2 linked regions of the Oryzias latipes genome follow. The protein of the gene in region 2 purifies or fractionates together with the protein of the main gene of each other region. This does not show direct contact. Links are inferred from orthologs where the notes say so. Each region holds a gene or a part of one and is shown on either strand. Other genes may lie near its edges.

Evidence for each region. The genes of interacting proteins can lie anywhere in the genome.
Region 1: the proteins of parp1 (region 2) and chd1l purify together in Homo sapiens (affinity purification with mass spectrometry; 7 studies listed by BioGRID and IntAct, with this or other methods). This does not show direct contact. The link is inferred for Oryzias latipes from reciprocal best matches to the Homo sapiens genes PARP1 and CHD1L.

The regions. Positions count from the first base shown.
Region 1 is NC_019862.2:6,462,274-6,466,559, forward strand, and holds part of chd1l (chromodomain-helicase-DNA-binding protein 1-like), read left to right. Parts: coding exon 1-68; intron 69-1,281; coding exon 1,282-1,435; intron 1,436-1,512; coding exon 1,513-1,696; intron 1,697-1,763; coding exon 1,764-1,909; intron 1,910-2,760; coding exon 2,761-2,912; intron 2,913-2,998; coding exon 2,999-3,192; intron 3,193-3,288; coding exon 3,289-3,387; intron 3,388-3,468; coding exon 3,469-3,539; intron 3,540-3,705; coding exon 3,706-3,820; intron 3,821-4,286. UniProt on the Homo sapiens protein: ATP-dependent chromatin remodeler that mediates chromatin-remodeling following DNA damage.
Region 2 is NC_019882.2:7,703,761-7,708,733, reverse strand, and holds the start of parp1 (poly [ADP-ribose] polymerase 1), read right to left. Parts: upstream 3,131-4,973; 5' UTR 3,021-3,130; coding exon 2,898-3,020; intron 1,405-2,897; coding exon 1,239-1,404; intron 1,077-1,238; coding exon 961-1,076; intron 891-960; coding exon 676-890; intron 1-675. UniProt on the Homo sapiens protein: Poly-ADP-ribosyltransferase that mediates poly-ADP-ribosylation of proteins and plays a key role in DNA repair.

The DNA.
Region 1 (4,286 bases), on a different chromosome or scaffold from region 2:
GACAGTGACTTCAATCCACAGAATGACCTGCAGGCGGCGGCACGGTGCCATAGGATTGGCCAAAACAGGTAACATGGAAACACGTTTTTAAAAGCAAAACAAAAAACCTGTGACAGCTAGATGTCAGACTTGTCAAAAAAGAGTCTTTATTGAGAACCGAGGAGATCAGAAATTGAACCATCAACCCTTTAACAGGAAGTCATTTTAATTTTAGTTGCAAATCTGCTCTTTTCATGTAAATAACCACATTAGTTTAAGCTTTTAAAAGACCCACTCTGATGAAGATGGTTTTTTTGGCATTTGTTCTGATGATGGAGGACATATCTTAGGAAACTTAAACTTAAAATTGCATTTTTAAGTATTTTTTTATTCAAATCGTTGTGTATCAGGAGCAGACAAAAAAATGTGTACCGTATTTTCCGGACTATAATTCACTCCGGAGTATAAGTCGCACCAGCCCAAAAATGCATTATAAAGTAGAAAAAACACAGAGAAGTCGCACTGGACTATAAGTCGCATTTTGACGAGAAATTTATTTGACAAAATCTGAGACCAAGAGCTAATAACTTGCACAACCTTATGACACAATCATAGCAGACTGTTTATCTCATAATTTCACAGTAATTCTTTCTCAAACTTATTTATTTATTCCTTTCATGAAGCATCATTGGCCAACTAATACTCTGTTTTCATCCTGTATTTGTAGAAACGGTTGTCATTTTTATCGCATTTCTGAATCTATGAAATCATTGGAAAATAGAATATTATGTTGTTAACCTTCAAGATCTTATTGTAAAAAAAGTTTGCTGATTCTCTGAGTCACTTAACATACTCTAAACACTTAACATACCTCATACATCAAATTGACCCAGGAACATCATCTCTGTTCCTCACAAATGAAAATAACAGGAGGGTTAACAATGTATTTATTTCATTTTATTTCTAATATAAGTCGCTGCGGAGTATAAGTCGCACCCCTTGCCAAACTATGAAAAAAAGGGCGACTTATAGTCCGGAAAATACGGTATTTATTTATGGGGGTGGGAGAGCACGTATACGCAGAGCTCTCAGCAATGGGGAGCAGAAGGGGGGCAGGCTGGCTCCACTCCAACAGTCCAGACGTTTTCAAAATAACGGCCGCTCTGCAGAAACTATGTCCTACAAAACAACAACTTTTGTTTTGGTTGAAAACGGCTTAATCATGATTTTAAAAAAAAACACTACAAATGCTTTGAAACTGGATCACAAGATGATCAGAGTGGATCTCTAAACTTCCCACAGGCCTGTGAAGCAGATCCGGCTCCTGGCTAGAGACACGGTGGAGGAGATCATGTACTCGCGCGCCGCGTCCAAGCTGCAGCTCACCAACACTGTCATTCAAGATGGACGTTTCTCTTTACTGGATCAAGCTCATTCAGCAGCCGCAGGCGTGCAGGTAAGTTCCCGTTTGCACGACGATCCGGTTTCTCCACAAGTCCTCGTGATCCGGCTTCCATGTCCCGTCCCTTCCAGTTAAGTGAAATCTTGAAGTTTGGGGTAGATAAGCTCCTGTCATCAGATGAAAGCTCGGTGCAGGATGTAAACCTCCAGAATATATTTGGGTCATCGCGAGGCGGTCAGTGGGTCGATGACGAGGACTTGAAGGCAGTTGCAGAAGAGGAAGAAGAGGAGGAAAGACCTGAATCTGACGAGCTGAGTATGTTCTTTTTACTTCAAAATATTTCTCTGTTTGACCTTCGACGAGCGGTTGTCTCCTCCTCTAGACCACATGTACATCTTTGAGGGCGTAGACTACAGTCGGGACCCAAGCTCCGAGGACCGGAAGATCTTTGACCGTTTGCTGGAGGAGCAGCTGGCTGAGATTCAGAAGGCTGTGGGGGAGGGACGAGCTCTGAGACACAAAGCTGGAGTGAGATTCTTAAACCAGTTTACAAACCTAAACTTAAGACACTAGAGAAATTCCCTCTCCACTCAAGTCTTTATTATCCTTATGGGAGATTTCAGGTCTGGACTTTGATCAATCTCTCTTTTTTTTTTTTTTTGGTGATACTTTTGATGTAGTTTCAGCCAAAAGTCAATTTTGATGTATTTTGTTCAAAGATCTTTTATGTTTTGTTTAGATGAGTTTTGGTTTTCTCCAAAAACTGTCCTGCATAGATATGTAGTTAAAAATGTTCTTCACTTTAACATTATTTGACACTGGAAAAGCCATCGTCCCTCCTGATAGTTACTTTATCAGAGCCTGGAGCTCATGAACACAAACGTGTTTCCCACAGATGCAGTAATGCAGATGCATATTTTTGTGATTCAATTCTGTAAAATAGAAAACTGACAATGAATGTCATTTATTCTGCATCCAAAGTTTCAAAATAGCCAAACCCCTATGTAATTAATGTAATTTTACTTATCTTTTTTAAATGGAATTTAATTGTTTTGTTTAATACTTTAATTTAATAACATTTAATACACTGTAAGTTAATGCATTTTAAGTTAAAAAAAATTTGAATTTAATGTAATTTTAATCAAATTTAGTTGACTTAGTTTAATTAGTTTTAATAATTGTAAAATAAATAATTAAATAAAATAAATATATATCAATTTCTTTAACTTCACCAATAAGGTTTTTGTTTTGGTTGTGATTGTTTACAGATATTTACAGGTATAAAATCTCACTCGTGTTCATTTGAAGAGCATTTCTCTCTCAAAGTGGAGTACATTCAAATGGAAGCGTTGCATGTTCTGTTGGTCTGTTTGTGTCAGGTCTCCCTCTCGGTGGCTGTTGGGATTCCGACGAGGAAGAGGAAACCTCTGAGTGAAGCGGAGCTGGAGCTCCGGAGGAAGAGGAGGGAGGACGCTGCAGCCAAAAGAGCAAAGCTTCAGGAGGACCTGAAAAGGAAGCAGCAGGCCAAAAAGTACCGCGCAAATGTGACCATTTTTCTGCTCATTGACTTCATCCATGTGAGTTTCACCCAAACCTTTTGCTTTTCTGTTTGTGCAGAATGGCATGGTGGGAGTCCTCTGGCTACAGGTCGCTTTGTCTGCCGCCTGTTGTGAGTGAAGAAGACGAGGATGAGGAGGATGGCAGCAGCTCTTGCTCCATGGATTCAAACAGTGTGGATATCTGCTACGTTCTTGGAGATGTGACCCACCCACACGCTGCTAAAGGAGATGCGATCATCATCCATTGTGTTGGTAAGCGCTGCACCCATGGCAACACACCTTTTTGCTTGTCAGACTTCTCTGACAGACATCCCCCCCATGTCTCTCTGACGCCATGACTTGTGTTAGATGACTCAGGCCGATGGGGCAGAGGAGGCGTCTTTACGGCGCTGGAGGTGAGATCAGACGAGCCACGGAAACGCTATGAGCTGGCCGGCAAGATGAAAGGTGACGGGCAACATCAACTCCGTGAAACACCTGAACCTGCAGTGGAACGCCACCGCTAAAGCACGAAAATGTGGCTTTCAGATTTGGAGCTGGGGAGCGTTCTGCTCTTCCCCATTGATGACAAACAATCCAGACCGGACGGCCAAGATCAGGCAGGTTCTGCTCAGTGGCCGGGAGCGTCCTCCTGCTTGAAAGTTTGATCACTTTTAGTAGCTTTTTATTTTTTTACTTGTGTGAGATCCGGCTCTGCTGAGTGTGTGAGACAGCTGCCATCTGATAAGACAGGAACCTGTATTCATTTCCTTTCTGTCACCTCAGTTGGCGCTTATTGTGGCACAGCGACGAGACAAGGCCCACAACTTGTCTGGGATCCTCTTAACGGCTCTGGATGAAGGCCTGAAGAAGATCTATGTGGCGGCCAGGAGGAAAAAGGGTAATGTATCAAGTGAAGAAGCACCATCTTCTAAAGGGATTCTGCTTTAAATGTGGCATAAATGCTGTTTGATTAGCAAACACAGCAGAATTAACCAAAAATTAGTCTTTTTTCTTTATTTTTTACAAAGATCAGAAACTCGAAACACAAGAATATAAAAGTCAGAAAAATCTGGATTTAAAATGGGGGTCTTGGTGTGGGGACGGCCGGGCATTCTCCCTCTTTTTACATTCCATCATCCACCTCAGTAGAATATGAACACTCACCTGAGCACAGGTGTCCGCTCCCCTTTGGACAAAAGCTACGCGTGACTGAATGAAATGCCTTACATGTGACGGTTTGTGTACAAATGTGTGCATGAACTGTAGTTGTACCGTCTACATGTTGACATGTTTGGATGGGAAGATCTGAATGTGTGTGTGTGTGTGTGTGTGGAAAGGCCACACCCCTTTTGGCTAACACCTAC
Region 2 (4,973 bases):
CACAAGAGACCGCCAGATTCCAGCTACTGCTTCTTCGTCCTGGTGGTGGACATGACCTACATGGTCTACTTCAACTTCTTCGCTTGCGTGCTCGCACCTCTGCTCATCATGTTCCTCATCTACGCCCAGATCTTCCTCACGGTGAAGCAGCAGATGAGGCGCATCGCGACTGAGAAAGGTGAAGGATGGGAGCGACAGGGCAGGACGGCAGCCACCATGCGCAAGGAGATGAAGATGGCCACGTCGCTCTTCCTCGTTCTTTTTCTCTTCACAATCTGCTGGATTCCGCTCCATGTGATCAACTGCTTCCTCCTGCTTTGCCCAAAGTGCCCCGTTCCGCTGGAGCTGCTGCTCACCACCATCATCCTGTCCCACGCCAACTCTGCTGTGAACCCCTTCCTGTATGCATACACCATGACGGCTTTCAGGGACGCCTTTAAGGCCATTTTTCTGTGCTGCAGGTCGATGGGAGAGGCAGAGATTTTAAGTGGAAACAACAGAGGAGATGAGAGAACTTCTAGACCAAACCAAGTCTGTGAGAGCTGAGTCAAAGCTCTTAGTCAAACTTTTATATATATATATATATATATATATATATATATATATATATATATATATATATATATATATATATATATATATATATATATATATATAGTTTTTGTTACTCCTCACCCCTCAGTTTTTACAGCAGGAAGCCTCTTCTTCAGCTCCTCCTTGTCTTCTGCCCGCAGCACATTGAATCCCTTCAGCTGAGCAGCGCTGTAATCAGGTTTGAAAGCCAGCTCCTCTCTGCGGCTCACAAAACATGCAGTGTGGTACCAGCGGTCGATCAGGCCCAGCTGAGGCTTCTCTGCATCCACCACTTTCTTAGACACACGAATCTGATCCTGGAGGAGAGGTCAGAGGTCACAGGCGTGCTTTCCGTTAATGAACTGTTTAAACGAAGCTGCAGCAAACCTTTTCTATTTTCTGCTGACATCCTTTGCACGTGCTGCGGTTTGATTTGGCGTACTCCACCGCAAAGTCGTTCAGCGTCTTTTCTCCTTTAGCCGCACCACCAGAGTTTCCCTTTCCTGCAAGATGGAGACCTCAATTTACCCCGCTGTGCTTTAAGTCAGAATTTTCAACAACCTACAAAAAGTAAACAAAAGCGACTTTCCGATGACTAACATTCACCACGCTGATAAACGTCAATTCATTTCCCGTGTGCACAAACAGCTCAGACAAGCACAGACCTGTTCCGGCCACTCCACCACTTTCTATGGCTTTTTTGACAGCTTCCTGGTCCGCCCAGCGGAGATCCGAAAACCCGCCGACATCGGCCGTGGACTGCACCGAGGCTCGCTGCCAGAAGCAGGAGAAGTGATGCCAGTGAGGGACCTTCCCGTCGAACATGGGGGACTGCGGGACACAGAGTAAACATAGGCGTGAACACATTCAGCTGCAGAGTTATAGTTTTCAGTCTGTCTGTATCTGCCGGGTTTGGATGATTCTGGAAAAAAATGATGGGTTTGCTGCTCATATCAGATCATCTGAAAGCTCCAGTGTAGTTTGGTGGTGAATTGAACAAGATAGTTGAAAAGTTGAACAAAGAACAGACAAAAAACATTTTTATGAGACGAGTAAAGGATGTAAAATAATTTAGCAATACCGTAATATTTTTTGAAGGTGAAATGGGAGGAAAAAACTAACCCTTTGAAAAAAATAATTGTACTATTGTCGCCATGTCCTGCTCCTTTTAAAAATGACTTTTCTCAATTTTTCTGTACAGTTTAAGAAAAATAAGAGGCTTTTCAAATTATCTTTAACATTTTAGCTGTAGTGACTCGCCAAAACAAAAGCGCAATTTTGTTTTTATTTAAATCATAAAAAATACCTTCAAATAAAAACTTGAACATCTTTCTAATTCCACAAACAAATACAAACTGTAATAAAAGTTTTGTTTATATATGTGTTTAATTATTATTTTTACATTTTATTCCTTACGTTTAGATTTAAATTGCTCGCCTTAAATTAAACATTTTAACTGTTTATTTAATAATATCAATAACCATCAATTGATCAGTCTGAAGGATGGGAAATTTACAAATATAAATCTGAATACAAATGATTTAAATATATATATATATATATATATATATATATATTTTTTTTTTTTTAAAGTTTAGTTGGTGCCAATTTTTACTCTGTGCTTTTGATATAAAATTTTTGACAATAAAAGCAATCAGTCTAGATATGATCTATTTTTTTTTTATAAATACCTGTGATTGATATTTACATTTTTCATCCTAATTTTTAAATTTGCATTAGAAATTAGTTTTATACAATTTACTGGATTATAGATAATAATTTTTTTACCTGCATATTAATTTACTTGAATGTCAACGTATTTTTCCAAAAATATAAATTCTACTTGCATTAATTGCTTGTAGAATAATAATTAATTATGCAAAGTTTAGTATTTCAAATCCATCTGCTGAAACGGAAGCCTGTGGTAGACAAAATACTAAATGAATAAATAAAAGGAAAAAGCGAATGAAGTAAAGAAAGTAGTGAGCGGTACACGTTCCCCCGAAAGACAAGCGATAGAATCACCAAGACTGAGTCAGACTGAGAGGCAGCAGTGATTTTTCCTCACATTTCTGCTTGAATGCCGGAAAGTGCATTTATTTGGAGCATCTCTGCGGCTCTTTGTGCGGAAGATTTAGCAGCCATAAATGCTAACGAGGGCCCAAACCAGTCCAGACGAAACCGGAACTACTCAGGCCTATATATCACATTTTCAAAAACACACTTTTATTTTTTTTTTACATCTGCTGAAGCTGCTTGGTAAACAAGTGAGTCTGTAGGAATAATTCCGCTCCCGGGTGTTTCCTTGGACCGCCGCTGCTTACCTGCACCACGATGGCCATCCTCAGCGAGTCCTTCGCGATTTTCTCCTTGCATTTCTTGCACGAAGCCTGGCCGCTTTTGGCGTACTCTGCTCGGAACAGCTTGTCATTCTGGGAGTCGGCCATAGCTTCCCTTTATCCTTAAAAAGCTGAACCGAAGACGACAAAGTTTCTCCACCAGAGCACGAGGAGCAACAACAGGGACAACGCGAAGAGCAGCGAGCAAGATCCAGTAAAGAGGGCTTACTCTGACTCTTTTTTGTCAAACCTCCGATACAAGCGTTAGTTGCCAATGGACGCTGAACCTGGGCGCATGTCCACAAATATCTGATAGATGCGGGCATATTTATCCAGATAGCTACAGAAATCACAGCTAACCGAACCTAAGAAACGGGGTTACATACTTCCATTCCTTCAGCATATCTTTCAAAACATCTTTGCATGCAGAGCCTGTAGAATGGAAGTTTATGTTTTTTGTTGTTGTTATGAAAATCATATTTATTGTTTAAGTTATCCATACTCACAAGCTCTTATTTAGAAATTTAGAAAACAGCCGGCTTCTGATATTCCTTGGACATCATTAAAAGAAAATGACAATTGGCTTTTCTGCAGGAAGCTTCTTTTCTTTCTGCTTTCATTTACTTACTACCATTCTACCTTTTCTTTCGTTTTCTTTTATCTATCTACCTATCTATCTACCTATCTATCTATCTATCTATCTATCTATCTATCTATCTATCTATCTATCTATCTATCTATCTATCTATCTATCTATCTATCTATCTATCTATCTATCTATCTATCTATCTATCTATCTATCTATCTATCTATCTATCTATCTATCTATCTATCTATCTATCTATCTATCTATCTATCTATCTATCTATCTATCTATCTATCTATCTATCTATCTATCTATCCATCCATCCATCCATCCATCCATCCATCCATCCATCCATATCTATATATCTAATTTTCAGAAAGTAAATAGTTTAAAGTAAATTAGACAAAAAAGTAAGACGTACAAGAAGAAATATGATTTTGTGAAGATCTCTTGGTATGTAAATCACTTTTTTCATTGAAAAAAATCAGATGGACAACATAATTATTATCCTATAACTGTTGGAATAAACTGTCAATCGTGGAAATAAATCAAATATTACATTTTTTGTGTGCATGTATACTTCTACTTTTTGTTACAAGTTTTTCTTCATAATGCAACTTCTTCTGTATGTTTATGTTTTTAAGTCTGACCTTAATAAGAAGAGCTAGGCTATTGTTTTCGTATTATTATCCTTAGATGTTTTTTAGAACAATGGTAATTTTTTTGTTCAGTTTTGTCGATTGGAAGAATTAAAGAAAGAACTTAAGATTTGATCAACTGAAATATATTTATTTATAAATTTATTTAAAAAAACAAAAACGAAATATTATTATTTATGTATATTTATTTGTCCTCTTGGTCATTCCTCAGGAGCCACTCAACCGCATAAACAACACTCCTCTAAAATATGTTCAACAAAAAGTATTCAAACTTGAAATGTTTCATAAAAAAATGTCAAGCGATCCATTTTTCACAATAGACGATATTTGGATACCTCACAGAGTACCCGCGCTCGCTTCAGTCTAAAACAATCGAATGAAGAGAAGTCGATCCTTGCAGTCTGAAAAGAAAGTAAATCCTTCACTTTCAAAATTATAGGTTTCCATTCCATGTAATGGGTACGTTTAACCAATAAAACTTAAATTGTATGACTAGTGTGATAAAAGTAGAATGCAATAAGTATTAAATCGTTTTTTAAATTATTTTAAGTATCAAAAACAGACAGAAAATGTGTTTATTTGATGGACGGCAATCATACAATTAAACATTTCTGTAAAAAATGTATAAAAGCATGGTATACATGTAAAATGAACAGCACATGATGTCTAAAACACCAACACGGTTGCATTTATAGAGTTCGTATGGAAGATACAGACAAAAACCAACTCATGTGTGATGAAATAGAACAGGGGTCTGCAACCTGTGGCTCCAGAGCCACATGCTGCTCTTTTATCCCTTCATTGTGGTTCTTTTGC